Linked DNA regions of Diceros bicornis minor. The protein of the gene in region 1 binds, or shares a complex with, the protein of each later gene. Links are inferred from orthologs where the notes say so. Each region holds a gene or a part of one and is shown on either strand. Other genes may lie near its edges.

Region 1 (7,332 bases):
AGCTGAACTGAGAAAGAAGATTTAAATCAAATACGATTTCTATCTTCAAGTGAAGTTTAGGTCCCAGAAACCTATTACACTGTCAGCTCTATCCCATTTAAATGACAAAAAACTGACAAAGATGTTTCTTGTTCCCTAGGCTAATATGACCAGAATGAGATGAAAGTCACTTACATAATTCTTGACTTCCCGTCGAGCATTAGCATCAATAGCAAGCCACCTCTGCTGATACTGTGCCTTGATATCTGGATCTTTAGATGTCAAAGAGTTCTTGATTTGTAGACCAGCTGCAACTCTGGCAACCTGACTGTTTCCTGGATTTGCCAGCACTCTGGACAGTTCCACAAGGAAAGTGGGCTGTTAAGAGAAGATGCATTTGTGAATGAAAATCTCTCTTAGGAATTTCACCAATTGAGAATGAATTACAGAGCACCAAAACACTGGAGAAAATCTAAATTTTTTAGAACATATCATAACGTCTCAGAAAATGTCAAAATATCTACTTCAAAACTCTTATAAAAATGTTACTTGGTATATAAAGAAGTCATCCATGTTCTCATGCAGCCTCAGCATTTAACAAAGAGTTAGAGATTTTCCTACCAACATCAGATCTTCACATTAGATCCCTCAGTACTAAAGCAAATTTGACAATGTGGTAGTGAGAGGATTCTTCTCTGTACTTACAACAGTGCCTAGTACTCAATAAATATTTGTTAAATGAATGAACATGTCATGACAGGGTAGAAAGTAAAATTGTTTTTCTAAATTTAAAAAATCTTAGTCCAAAAAGAATGATACTCAAGGTGGATTTTGATCTCATGGAAGCAGGTAACCTTGTAAAAGAGAGGGAAATACTTATAAACCTAAAACATGGACTTCGGAGGTTAGTTCTATTTTAGTTCTAAGTGTTCAGTAAAAGGGGAACAATGAAAAAAGCAGATTTACAAGGAAAAACATAAATATTTAGGAATAGGGGAACATTGAAAAGTTAAAAATGTCAAGGAAAATAATTTTATATTTAATAGTCAACAGTTAATACGCTACAACCTCCTATACATTTTGTACCTGAGTTATCCACTAAACATACTGGATTCCTGAAAAGCATCCTTAATCTTTTGTAATGCACGGGTCCCCAAAACTACTCCCTTTGTTTAAAAATTGTAACACACTCTCCTCTTACCCGCAGAAAGCTCTGTGCAAATGGAAAAGTTAACAGGAAAAACCAAAAGCAGGTACTTTCTTACCACTAACAAGTTCCGCAATCACAGCAGAAGATAATTCTTAAAAGTTTTATTAATTATGTACCACTAAAGAATGTTAGGAATAAGATGTTAGGAACAAGATAAAAGCCTTCTTGCATATTAGCAAAAGTAGAAACAAGAATATACCCTAAATGGAAATGTTATCAGTCTACACTAGTGCAAAATATCTTTTCTACAGAAAGTCAAGGATAAAAAGATTAGTACTAAAAACTAGCACATATGAGGGGGGAAAAAAATGATTAAAGGCAGTTTGTATAAAATAAGCCTCGTCACTTTTTTTGTTTACATTACTTTGCCCAGATAACACAAGGGACCACGTTTAATTAGTGTTATTTAGATTTATTACCTAATACTTTTTAAAAGATGTCAAGTATCATCCACCCTTCCCTCTGCTCCCCATCCCCCCCAACAGGAGAGGGACACCAAAGAGAAACATTACTGGTACACAGGCTGTTTCAACCAATCCATCCCACATTTTTATTTCGAGATCCAGTCTCTAGTGGACTTATCTTCATTTTTTGTCTGTAGCCCTTAAATTTGAAAATACGAAAAACGAGGAACTTTCCTCTGTGATTTCATCTGGACACAGGCCCGATCTCAAGGATGAGCCTCAGCGGGTTGTCTGGGTACAGATTAAGTCTCCACTCAATTGATGTAAAAAAAAACACCCCAGGAGAGGAATAACCAGGCAGGAAACGAAGAAATACTGCCGGAACGGGCATTTGGGTGCCAGGCCTGGTCCTGAGCACAGACCAAGGGATATAGGAAAGCGTAGCGCTCTGGGAAGTAGGTGGAGAGAATCTAAAATCACATGGGCCACGGGACAGGAGAGAGAAGCCGGCCCGGATGAGACCAGGCGGGCAGCCGGGCTCCGAGCTTCCACATGGCCCCTAGGCCCGGCTCCCCCACCCCCACCCTTGCTGAACACGCAGCGCCGCGCAACCTAACTTCCCTTCCCTCCCTCTTTCTCCCTCGCGCTGCACCGCCGCCCTCAGGCCGCGCGGCGATTGGGCGGCGGTCACCCCGGCGCGCCGCGCCATTGGCCCACTGCGGGGCCCGGGGCGGGACACACCCACCGGCTTCCCGATGGCGGGGTTAGGTTGGACCGGGCGGGGGGAGGGGGACGGGATGGGGCGGGGTGGGTTCCCGAGGCCTGGGCCTCCGGGAGGGCGGGAAGGCCCGCACGCAAGGATGGGAGACGGCGGGATGGGGACGGCGGCCGGCACGCACCAGGTTCTCCACGGCCGCACGCTCCAGGAACTTCTGCGCCGCTTCCAGTTCCAGCCGATCTGGGGGAAGGAAAGTGGGAAAGGGGACAGGGTCAGAAGGGCCGGGGGTCCCTCTTCCCCCACCCGGTCACCTCGGCGCGACCCCCGGCCCCCACGTCCTACCGGGGGACACGGTCTTCTCGAGGATGGTGATCAGCTCCATGGCGGAGAAGGTGGCAGCGGCTCCTCCTAAGACGACGGCCCGGCCTCTCGGGCGGCGGCTCTCACTGGGGATGGGGGTTGGGGGTCGGGTGGGAAGGGAGGGTGGGGTGGGGGGCGGGGGTCACCACAAGCCCATTCACCGGCTCCCTCTTGGTGGTCGCTCCGGCTCCCCTGCCTTCCTCCTGGCCTTCCTTCCTCCCTCCTATTTTGCTGCTGGCGGCGATGGCAGCTGCTCCTCGGGCGGCGGGGGAGGGACCCCGGGGGCAGCTAGGAGCGCGGCTGGTGCTCGGGCGGCGGAGGGAGAAAGAAGGAAGGGAGGCGATAAGTGAACGGCGGCTCGCAGGGAGGGAGAGAGAGGAGGGAGGAAGGCGGAGGGATATTCGGGCCGGGCCTCTCCGCGGCGGCACCGCGCTCCTCGCCGATTGGCTGCCGCCCTGGCCACGCGGAATCCCCAATTGGCCGGGTGGGCAGCGTTGAAGGGCCGCCATGCACCGATTTGCCCGCCAGTTTCAAGGCCCGGGTTAGCTGGGCGGGCAGCGGAATGGGGCGTGCGGATTGGTCGAGGGGAGAGAGGTCGGGGTGGGGCAGGCGAGAGCCGGCCGCTGATTGGGTTGGCCTGGTAAAGGCCTTGAGCTCCGACCGGCTGCGCGCTGGGAGGAGGGTGGACCGAAGGCAAGACTCTGGGCCCGCGTGATTGGCTGGGATCCTAGACGTTGATGGGATAGGGCGCCCGGGAGAACTGGGGAGAGGAGTTCGGGGTCGCGGCCGCGGGAAGGCGGGAGGTGCCCCGCCGCTTTCGGAGCCCGGCGCGGGGCACGACGGGACGCCTCCGGGAAGGGGCGGAGCCGTGTGCGGGCTGCGGTTGGGGAAGCGCCGTCACTCCGAGGGGCGTGTTGAAGAGGATTTCGCGGGCCCGAGCGGGGGAGGGGGGACCGTTAAAGCCCTGCACCGCGCCCACAGGAAGCTGCTTTAATGGTTAGGCCTCCTTGGTACCAGGCTCTCGGCTGGGAAGGACTTTGAAGACCATGCGGTTCAACTTTCTATTTGCAGATGTGGAAACTGAAGCCCAGAGAGGGTATGCAACTTGTCCAAGGTTACACAGCGGGTTAGTGGCCTGGTCTGGACTGGATTCAAGCGCTCCTGACTGCCCTTGGCCTTACACGCAGCTTCCTTTCCAAGGAGGAGAATGCGCATGCAGATCTTTTAGATCTATTTATAGGGTTTGAGGCTTGTGCTGTTTTAAGGCCTAACTCACGTGGGATGGGCATTTGGATTTCTCTTAGACGCCCCATCCATAGCTACCAGGTACTTAAAGGAATATAAATGTTTCATCCTGCGAAGGTGCCTCTAATCAAGGCACAACCGTGAGCCAGCAGGAATGTGTGTACAGGCATAAAGGATCGTGGTTCTTAGCCTTATTTAGTTCTAAGCCCTGGAAGAAACTAATGAAAGCCTTTCCTTAGCAGAATGCACATAAAGAAAATGTGCATACAGTTTGACTTCCCTGACATTGGTACATGGACTCCCCGTGAAGAATGTCCTGAATTACTACATTTTCATTGTATTGATCTCGGGGTAATTGGATATAGCTTATAGAGCTCTTTACCAAATAGCTTGAGCTTGTGGAATAATTGCCCTACTCTAGTCATACTGGGAATACCTGGGAGGAACTCCGTCCTCTCTGAGAGATTCCACCCAAGAATTAGAAAAGCTTGGGGCGGGTACTGTGGCATAGCGGTTGGGTTCCCGCGTTCCACTTCGGCGACCCGGGTGTTCGCCAGTTCGGATCCTGGGCACAGACATACTCACCGCTCATCAAGCCGTGCTGAGGCAGCGTCCCACGTAGAAGAATTAGAAGGACCTACAACTAAGACAACTGTGTACTGGGGCTTTGGGGAGAAAAAAGAAAAAAAAAAGCTTGGCCAGCTACCTTTAACCTTAAAAGAGAAAGAAGAGGTCTTTCTCTGCTAGAGATATCTTTGCAGTTGTGATGCTGGAAGTGTGGGGACACCATTCCTCACCTCATTCTGTGACTAGCGGATTTCCTGTGGCTTAGCCGTCCTCCTAACCCGGCCTTTGGCTTCATCTGTTAACTGAGGAAGAACGGCCCTGTGTGTAACTTTGTTAGGAATCAATGAAGGTTAAGTGAGATGACCTCCATGAAAATCTTGAACTGCCCTTATGCGGATTACCCATGCTACAAATGATCCAGAGTTTTGTCTCACTCCAAGCCAGCTTTCTCCTGCTCTCACCGGTGTGCTGAGCCACCCCCTCTACTCGACATCAGTCATGATATACCAGTGAGGGCAAATGGATTTTTAAAGTAGCTGAAATAAAATGCTGGGAAGATAAATGTTTTGCAGCAAAGTTCCAGTCAAACAAAAGATCCTTCCCAAAACCCAAGTGAAATGAGTTTTTAGTTGAACTAAGGTTCCTGATGATGCTGGCTAGTCCCTGTCCAAAGCACTCAACACTAGCCTGCACTCAGCAGATGCTAGTGAGGCACCAAAAGGTATTGAGCACACAGACTCCAGAAACTGTCCGCCCGAGTTCATATCCCAGCTCTGCCTCTTCTTAGCTTGTGTGACTGACTTTGCTAAAATGCAGCTAATAATTGTACCTATTTCGTGTACGCTTTTGGAAAGTCTTAAGTGAGTTAATACATGTTAAGGGCTAGGAACACTGCTTGGCATGTTTATATATGTTGGCTATTATGTATTTAGCATGTATTTTGTACTAAGTGAGTGGTTCTTGGTCCTTGGCCTGTTAGAGAAGAAAGACTTTAATCAATTAATCTCAAACAAATGTTGGGGCTGGCCCGGTGGCGCAAGCGGTTAAGTGTGCGCGCTCCACTGCAGCAGCCCAGGGTTCGCCGGTTCGGATCCTGGGCGCGCACCGACGCACCGCTTGGCAAGCCATGCTGTGGCAGCATCCCATATAAAGTGGAGGAAGATGGGCACGGATGTTAGCCCAGGGCCAGTCTTCCTCGGCAAAAAAAGAGGAGGATTGGCAGATGTTAGCACAGGGCTGATCTCCTCACAAAAAAAAAAATTCTCAAACAAATGTAAAGTTGTAAAAATGCCAAATGCCAAAGAATGACTCAGGACACTCAGGGAAAGCTTACTTGAGAAAGAGAAGAGACTTATTCAGGTGGAGAAGGGAGGAATAGCATGTGCAAAAGCCCTGTGGTGGGAGGGAGCTTGGGGATTATAAGGAACTGCAAGAGGGCCAGTACCTCCAAAGCACAGAGAACAAGGGAATGAGGTAAAGCTAGAGTGTTGAGTAGGAAAAAGACCATGTGAGATCTTGCATGCCATGCAGATGATTTTGTCTATATCTTAAGAGCAAAGGGCAGCTATTCAAAGGTGTTAAGAATGTTGGTGGTTATAATGTGGAGATTAGCCTGGAAAGAGGGAAGAGTAGGTGCAGGGAGACCAGTTAGTAGGCCATTGCAATAGTCCAGGTAAGAGATGATACTTGGAGAAAGGAGAAGGGAAGAAGTAATAGTGGAAATAGATAGCAAAATTAATTGAACTTGGTAACTGACTGGAAGAAGAGGGAGGTGTCACTGGTGCCTGCTGGATCTCTGGCTTGCACTGTGGAATGGATGGTGATCCCATTTGCAGTGTTTCCCAAGTAGGAGGAACTGGAAGCCACCTGGTTTAGTAGAGTGGGGAGAGGTACAAGTGTTTCTTGAGCTGTGTATGGAGTACACAGGTTTTAATGTGTTTTCTCTATAACTTTTTGAGTGGCAGGAATATTCATGTCCAATGAACGAATTATGAAATTAAAAAGAAAAACTGGGTTTCATTCTTACTCTACCATTTCCTGCTGTATGATCCTGAACAAGTCACGTAAGCTTTTGGGTCTGTGAGATGGGAGAATCTGGGCCGCACCTTGGGTGGTCTGAGCATACACAGGAGCCTCTCTGAAGCGCTCGGGACAAGTGTCTCGTGCCGGGAGACACTCGCCAGGATCTGTGAAGCACCCAGTCCCCCCATGACCTGCAGCACATACGTGTGAGAAGACTGGCTGCGAGGGGAGAAGCAGTCGGGCTGTGACCTGATGCCCTTTCCTCCTGCGCAGAGCTGACCCACCTGAGACGGGTCAAACTTTGGCCTCATTAGCGTTGAGGAAGAATGGAGGTGAAGGCGACATCTGGAGGACTAAGTGCCCCTCTGCTTGGTAATGGGGCAAACTTCGTTGCCGTTTTCCTGACTTCCCACGCTTCTCCCAAATAACTTAGAGAAGAGAGAGCATTCGCAGAAAAGCAGCCGAGACGTTGCTCTTTCAACTTCAACCCCCAGAAGCAGAAATACTATTATCATCAAACAATTTTCTCGTCTCCCCCGCCCTTCCCTTCGCTCACTAGGCTCCAGCATTCTTTCTGTTCCTTGAAGACACCATGATGTATGAGTCTCAGGACCTTGGCATTCGCTCTTCCTTCCCATTAGTACTGTCTCAGTTCAGATGTCACTTCCTCAGAGAGGCCTTCCCTGACCACCCCATCTAAGGTGGTTTCCACAGATAGTCTTTGGGACGGGACCCTATTTGATTATCTTCAGAAAACCTCTCAGTACCTGAAATTATCTTTTTTTTTTTTTTTTTTTTGCTGTCTGTTCTTACCCCCACTAAAATGC
Region 2 (7,529 bases), on another chromosome or scaffold:
ATATTGCCTCCTTTGCCTGGCTTAGGAAATGTTATTGTTGTGGTAGTTTCCTCTCCCTTAAAAGTTGGCCCCTAGTTAGAAAAACATCTAAAGCAGTTTCTCTAATACTTGGTGTGAAAAGTAATTGGGGAGTAATATGGTTTGATTGCTAAAATTTCAAGAAACTAGGTTGATTTAGTGTTAACAGTAGACTAATGTTTTGTCTAGCACACAAAATTTACTGTTACTTGGCAGCAATGCAAAAATAATGACTTGTTTTTTTAAACTCCATTTGGCTGTAATAATTTGATGAAACATCTTCATCTACTGATGATTTCAGCCTCCATGAAAAACCATGGCAGTAATGTGATGATCTATTAGCCATTAACTATAAGAATGTTTTGTGGTAGTTTTATAACCATCTGCTGAGTGTGAGTGTTTAACTACAATATTATATTTTACCCACAAACAAAACTATAACAGAGTCTCTGGCTGCTAAATGGTTTCTGATGTGTATTTTGCAAGGTGCAACAAAGAAAGAGTTAAAAATAGCCTTTAGGACAATTTAACGCTATTTTTATGCCATAACTATGGATTTAATCATGGTCCATTTACTGTTTCTCAAAAGAGAAAACAGGTATTTCTTAAGCAACTTTAAAGAAAAAATTGGATCTGTTCCAAAACAGTATTTCTTGGCCAGTATTTAAGTGTGCTTTTAAAAATTCAGTCTTCATCTATATTTCTATATGGATTTTAAATAATTGAATTTAATACAAGCCTCAAAATGAGCAAAAAAGTCTGAAGACAACTTTCAGAAATATATCAGCAAAACGCTGATTTGAAGAATACAATGCAGCTTTATCTTCAGTACAATGTTCTACACAATTTGCCTTAGGAGATTCATAATAGATTTTCATTTTCGTGCCAAGGTTCAGACATGTCTCAAGTAATTTCATTTAAGGATTTTCTGCTCTAATAATAATAGACCAAGGGCACATATAAAACAGTTGCCTTTTTGTACACCCTCAAGAATTTACAAGGAAGCACCATACACTTGATTGTAAATATTAGATATTGCTACTATTATTGTTAGTGTAAAAGTTCTCTGTAGTTCCTTCTCAGAGGCAAATTCTCAGTTCTCAAACTTTATGGTTTTCCCACCCTGAACACTGAGTCCGCAGCTTAAAGATCACTCAAAGACGGTATTACACACATTAATGAACTGCTAGGTCCAACAGATTATTAAGATGGTGTTACTCTATCACTCTTCCAACTTTTCAATCATACAACATAGTGATATTTCTCTAGCGTGCGTGGATGTACGGTGACTTTCAAGTCAAAATTCTCCTTAAAAGAAACACCTAATGAGAATGCAAAAATACAAGTTTTCAGTCTACAATGCAAATATTTGACTCTAGATTAAAGAACTGTTAGCAATAATTCCAAGAAAAAAAAAAACTTTCCACACCTAATATTCATTTTGGAATCCAGCGCTCTAGCGTTCCTGAACTGTATCAATACTAACGTTGGAGTCGAGCCATTGCAAAGTTGTTACTACTTTATTATATAATATGCCTTCGTTATGTAATGTGGTGCATTTTATATGCTTAAAATTATGTCATTCATAATAAAATTAGATGTAAGGTTTTTGCTTCTCACACACAAACTGCCACCCACATTCAGTACGTATACAAGCGCACACAGACATATGTCCCCTAGGTCTCTTAGCTTCCTCCGAGTTATCTAAATCTCTCGTAATCCTCAGAGTTTCAAAACCTTCCCAGGTCCTGAAAATAACCTTTTCTTTTTTTCATTAGAGGCAGAAGATCTTTGCCTAGAGGAGATTCTGTAAAACGCTCCCTCTTATGGAAACACATAAAATTTGTCTCCTGCCTGTCTCCCCTCGAGGTTCAACCAGTTCTCCCGCCTGGTTTGAGGATCCGGGCTCAGCTCCCCGCAGGTAGCTGGATCTCTCCGCTCTTTAACCCGGGCGAGGAGCATCAGTGACCGCTGGGAGCCCTCGGCAGCGCCCCAGCCTGGCGGCCTCTCCCACTAGCCTCCCCAGCCCTCACCCGGCGTCCCGGGGAGGACGGGGCACTTACAGCCGGCGGCCGAGCTCCTCCACCGAGCGCCCGCAGGAGGGCACCGAGTAGCTCAGCAGGAACACCGCGACGCTCCACTGCTGAACCAGCCTCCGCAGCATCGTATCCTCTCGCTCTCGGGACCTGCAACAGTGGAAAGGGGGCCGAAATGTCAGTCCGGAATCTCCATCTCCCCGCACTACCCCGCTCCCCCTTTTCGCCTGCTTTCAAATAGCCTCTTCAACATCAAAGGCATCTCCCAAGTTGCAAAGAAGAAAAAACAAAAGAAACTTTCTCTGGAGCCTCTCAGCACTTACTTATTTAGGAACCAGCTACTCCAACTGTGCCTTTTCCAAACCACACAGGCAAAAAGGGACCAAAAAGGGGGAAAAAAATTAGAGGCGCTTCCTCTGAAATAATAACCAAAATGAAATGGTTTTATATATGCATCAATGGTGAGCAGCGTATTTACACGTCTCCCATAGCAATGTTTAATTAATCTGGCGAGCAGGCAGTTCTCCTGGGTTCGTGGAGCAAGGCTAACTCCCTCCTTAAAAAAGAAGCAAGTTCCCCCCGTGAAGTCAGCTTCTTTGCGAACTAGGCCGTCTTCCTGCAGAGCCACTTGTAGCGAGACCCACATATATATACATAGCTGTCTGTCTACCTCCTCTGGTGGGCTGGTTGCTTCCGGAAAGTTGATTCCACACACCCTGAGAACAAGTTTCAAGTGCGTGTGTCGTCGATCAGGAGGGCCAGGTGGCAGGGAGGGCGGGTTAAGAGCGGCGCGGAGGGGCGGCGGCGGCCGGAGCGGCAGGGCAGCGGCGGCCCCGCTTCACGGGCGGGGAGGCATGCTGGCCGATCGGCGCAGGTTGGAGGCGAGTTGCAAGTCGAGCAGAGGAATGTTCACACGCTCCCAGGCAAACCTGCCGGAGAAGTGAGCGAGTCGCAAAGAGGTGGCGCCCTAGGAACGCGCGCGGGGCGAGCGAGGGCGCGGGCGCGCGGGGGGCGGGGGCGGCGACGGGCGGCCAGAGCGAGCGAAGGGGAGCCCCGGGCTGGGAATGTTCCACGAGCGGCGGAACTCCCCCCCCCCCCCGCACTGCCGCCCCCGGCCCTGTTCAGAGCTCCGCCGAGCCCCACCCCAGACCTTTGGCCCGGTCGCGCCATCCCCGGGCCGGGGGCGTGGGCAGATCCGCTCGTTCCCGCCGGGTCCCGCCGGCCCGGGACTGCGCGGCGGATCTGCTAGCCGAGGTCCCCAGGGCGTGCGGACGGCCCCGGGCAGCCACGGCCACCGGCGCGCCGCAGCAGCCGCGCCCGGCCGGACGCGCGGGCGCCGAGGCCGAGGCCAAGGAGCCGCAGCCGGAGAGCGCGGGCTCCCGGGACCCTCGGCGGCGAGGTCGCCGGCCTTTGGCCCTTCGCTTTAAGAAGCCCTAAGCCCGCCTGGGAGCTCGGGGAGCGAGACGGGAACCCTTCTCCCTGGCCTTTTCCTGGGACGAGCTGAGCGGGGAGCGTTGGCTAGGGAGGGGGAGATCCTTCGCTTAGAAGAGTAAAAACGGTTTCAGAGCTCAGTTCGAGATTGCATTTTTTGCTGTCTCAGAACAGCTGAGGACATCTGGAGCCCGTCCAATAAACCCGCGCACATGTTGGAGACCCCCTTTTGAACTGCCGACGGGGACCGACACTCCTGGAGAGCGCACACGGCCCTTTTGCCCACCGACAGGAGTCTAACCCACCCTTTCCCCATAACCTACTCGGTCCCCCCCGCCCCCCCCCCCAAGTCCCCTGTTACATTTTCTGGGATGACTCTATCCGTGTCGCTTCAGCCTGCAGAGGCAGCGGAACTAGAGCTGTACGCTGCTCTGCCTCGGAGAAGCGAAGGGAAAGCAGGGGGTTCTTCCCAGAGCTCTTGGGCGGGGAAGAAAGACTGCTCTGATTTACTGGGCAGTATCATTCAGGAAAGGATTGCAGCGGATGTGAGCGCCCGCCCAACCGGCTCCTCTATCTTTCTGAAATGAATGCGGGTGGTTGGGAAGCATTCAAGGGATGTTTGTCTTCTAGATAGACAATCCTACTGGTAGGTTTCAAAACTCTCTAGGCTAGTGTGATTTAGAGATCTGAGATGCTTAAGGGAGCCTGACCTTTATCAAGCCTGGCTTTCTGGCTGATGCTTCACGGATTTTACCAAGGGTGGGTGAAAGAGCGCCCCCTCCCCGACCCTCGCTCATCTGGGCTCCCTTTTCCCCTCGTTAACTACAGCTAGTTAGCTAGCAGTTAACGTTTGCTGTTTAGTTTGGGTGGGCGTCACCCCTTCTCAGACGCTCCTATCTCCCTCATTTGATTACTTTAAACTCCATACTTAAAAAAAAATTGGCTTCCTCCTACTAAAAAAAAACCTGGGAATTTCCACAACTTCCCTTGAACGTTTAAGAATTTCTAAATGTTAGACCTGTTTGCATGGCATGAAAAGACAAAGTATCAGCTCTCAGAAATGTCAACGTTTGAACCTCTAACACTTTCTGATTTATAATAAATTCTTTCCCAAAAGACGCAGGAGCCTTAATGTAATCATTAGATTTGAAGGAGGAAATCTGTAAAAAAAATAAATCACAAATGAGCCATTTAATACTTGCAAGTTGTTTAACATTAAAATGATAATATTTGCCTCCACAATAAAAAACCCAAAGGTACTTAGCCAAGTTTCAAACTGCCCAGGCTTTAAAAAGTTAACCCTCCCCCAATAAAAGGTTAAAACAAAAAGCAGATTGAAAATCTTAAATCACTTACGCTGTAAATAAATTCATTATACTCTCAGAACATTGTAAATTAAAGACTGGCATCAATACAGTGCTTTGATTTATGTTGCTTTTTCTACTAATTAAACAAAATTGACCCCCCTCTCCCTCCCTCCTTTCTCCCCCCCCCCCCACTTTTCTGGTGTTAATGGCAAAACATCTATCAAATATTTTTAGAATTTCCTCTCCTCCACAAAAAGAGAAAATATAGACACAGGAAAAATAAATAGTCTTTATATACTTGGAGTACCAAAGTTTCCTCATAATTTATTACTTCACCTTTTCCTTGATTTACAGTGTTCTCTGCTCTTCTGGCCAAAGGAGGGAGATCTTCTCCGCAGTCTCTTCCAGAAATAATTATTTTTGTGTTCTTCAAAAAGTAAAATTAAGTCTTCAATGAATTAAAAACTTCCTGTAAAAAGCCTTTTCTCTTCCCACCAAAGGCAATTATTAGAAAGCAGGTACTTCTTTTAAGCTGCCCTGTTTATTACTTTCAGTAGAAATCGTCCTCAATATATACCCAGGACCCTGACTTTTTTGCCTTCCTGAAAAGGATATTTTCAGACATCATAATCTAGTTCCCAATATAACTGAGTAACCTCGGTGATAATGCTGAGGACACATGACTAGCAAATGAGATGACTCCACACTAGGAGGCTTGTTTTTTTTTTTCTAGGCTTATGACTAGAACAAGTGCCAATAGAGGCCAAATGTTTGCTTAGGCCTTGCTATCACATAAATGCACCTTAGCAAATAGGAGGATTTGAAGGCCTGTCTTTAATCTGAAGTATTTCCATGTGAAGACAGCTTCACAGTGTGAGATCTACACCTACACAAATGCCTAGCCCATGAGCAAGCCTCAGACTTCCATCTTCCCATCCCCAATGGCGGCATTATATTCCAATTTTAAAATGAGATTTCTAAATTTTTAAGTGCACTTTTAAATTCATGTTTAAATTCCAGTATATCTCCAGGGATCTCTCTTCTTGCAATTTAGGGGGGAAAAAAAAAAAACTCTAGCATTTATATTTAGCTTCTTTATCTTTCTCCCTTTTTTCCTCCTCAGACCAAACAACAAGCAAACAAATAAACACACAAACCAAAAAAGTACCCATAGCTCTTTAAACAGTGCACCTGGGCTCAGAAATTCTCTTATTACCAATAAGCATTCAGATTTAACCAATTTTGCCAATCTGTAGCTCCAAGCTATATCTCTAAAATCCTATGACACCAAACAGCTAAACTCATCTCTTCTCTTCTCCAAACTTTTTCTTTGTTTACATAGAGAAGTTTGCATAATTAACTCAAGGAAAGTTATCATTTGATTCCATCAGAACATGGTTCACACCACTTGCCTAGACAGAGACTTGAGGAGACTGTTGCCAGCTGACCTCAAGGTAGCAAAAAAAGGGATGTAATGCCTTTAAATCCCTAGTAGGGGTAGGAAAGTGTGTGCTTCATTATTCAATATCTTTGTAGTTAGATGAAGATAAGACTCAAGCAGGAGCTGTCTTCTCCAGGAGCAAGACTAGTTGCTGACCTCCGGAGGAACTGCCTCTGGGAGGAAAAATGGGTCTCACACCATCCTCATCCTTCCCTACTTCCTGGGCAATGCTCAGCTTTCCCCAGACAGGACCAGAAAGTCCAGCAGTGAGGCAGTTTTCCCCTGAAGTCTCAAGCCAATGTGAGATGAGAAGGTCTCTAGGAAGTGGGGGTCTCTAGGGACCAGCTATCCAAGGTTAAGCACTTGTGTTCCTCCCAAACCCATAACCATCAAAACACCTTTGAGGAGGAGTCTTCTGGCTAGGGATGGAGTGTGTGTGTGTGTGTGTGTGTGTGTGTATGTGAGCGAGAGACAGAGAGAGAGGGTGAGAGAGAATGGATGTGTAGCACGCAGGTCCTGATCTCCCGGACTGATGCCCGCCGGATACCCTTGGCTGGGCCGAGTTCCTGGCTCCGTGAAGCAGGCAGCTCTGGACTTGTACGAGACCACAGGGAGAGTTCCAAGTCCCACCTGGTTCAGACGACAACCCCTCAACCTGAAACGGATCTCAGGCGGTGCCACACAGCCTTCCTGGCCGGGGCCCAGCTCTGCTGTGAGGAGAATCTTCCTTTCTTTAAAATTTGAGCCCTGCTGTCTGGAAGGCACTGCTCCTGGGAGTCGCCGGGACCTTGGAAGCAGTTGACCTGCCTAACACCATTTTCCACCCCTGCAAAACATGGGGTCTCTCCCCAAGGCAGCCCCCAGACTAGGGTGTCCATCCTTTCAAGCAGAAAGACATCTAGACACCCACACGTAGACTGGGCGTCGTGACTACCGCGCTTTGAGCTTGTGATTACGGTGTTTTAGGGCCCTGCCTGCCCTTCCTGGGAGTTTTCTCAGAAATAAGTCCGCGGGAAAGCAAACGTGCGAGCTGCGTGCTGCCTCTCTGGGGTCTCCTGGGCTGATTCCTGCGCGCCCGACGCGGGAGGGGGAGGCGTGTCTTCCAGGGTCTAGGAAGAGGCCTGAAGACGACTGGACGATCCTTATCAGCCCCCCGCCTCCCACCACTGACTTGGGTCGCCCGTTGCGGATACGATCCCAGAGGAGGACGCAGTTGGCTGCCGGAGATCTCAGGCTTGATAGAAAGTTCAGAGGCCTGGGAGCCCCTTGGCGGGTGTAGCTACGTTCCCTGGGTTC

What was found. Proteins that work in one complex are often made in the same cells at the same time.
Region 2: the proteins of KPNB1 (region 1) and PTHLH are in contact, whole or in part, in a crystal structure (PDB 1M5N), measured with the Homo sapiens proteins. The link is inferred for Diceros bicornis minor from reciprocal best matches to the Homo sapiens genes KPNB1 and PTHLH. Residues at the interface, in NP_002256.2 of Homo sapiens: Val55, Tyr104, Pro106, Gln111, Glu152, Tyr156, Gln159, Asn196, Leu199, Asn200, Gln239, Glu274, Gln278, Glu281, Asp288, Ile295, Ser298, Glu299, Asp339, Asp340, Trp342, Val350, Met353, Glu395, Trp430, Arg434, Glu437, Asn469, Trp472; in NP_945316.1 of Homo sapiens: Tyr103, Thr105, Gln106, Glu107, Thr108, Asn109, Lys110, Val111, Glu112, Thr113, Tyr114, Lys120, Thr121, Pro122, Gly123, Lys124, Lys125, Lys126, Lys127, Lys129.

Annotation. Positions count from the first base shown.
Region 1 is NC_080757.1:38,184,678-38,192,009, forward strand, and holds the start of KPNB1 (importin subunit beta-1), read right to left. Parts: upstream 3,014-7,332; 5' UTR 2,694-3,013; coding exon 2,654-2,693; intron 2,552-2,653; coding exon 2,493-2,551; intron 358-2,492; coding exon 175-357; intron 1-174.
Region 2 is NC_080756.1:35,145,592-35,153,120, reverse strand, and holds the start of PTHLH (parathyroid hormone-related protein), read right to left. Parts: upstream 3,001-7,529; 5' UTR 2,725-3,000; intron 2,624-2,724; exon of another isoform or gene 2,378-2,623; intron 2,205-2,377; 5' UTR 2,183-2,204; coding exon 2,082-2,182; intron 1-2,081. UniProt on the Homo sapiens protein: Neuroendocrine peptide which is a critical regulator of cellular and organ growth, development, migration, differentiation and survival and of epithelial calcium ion transport.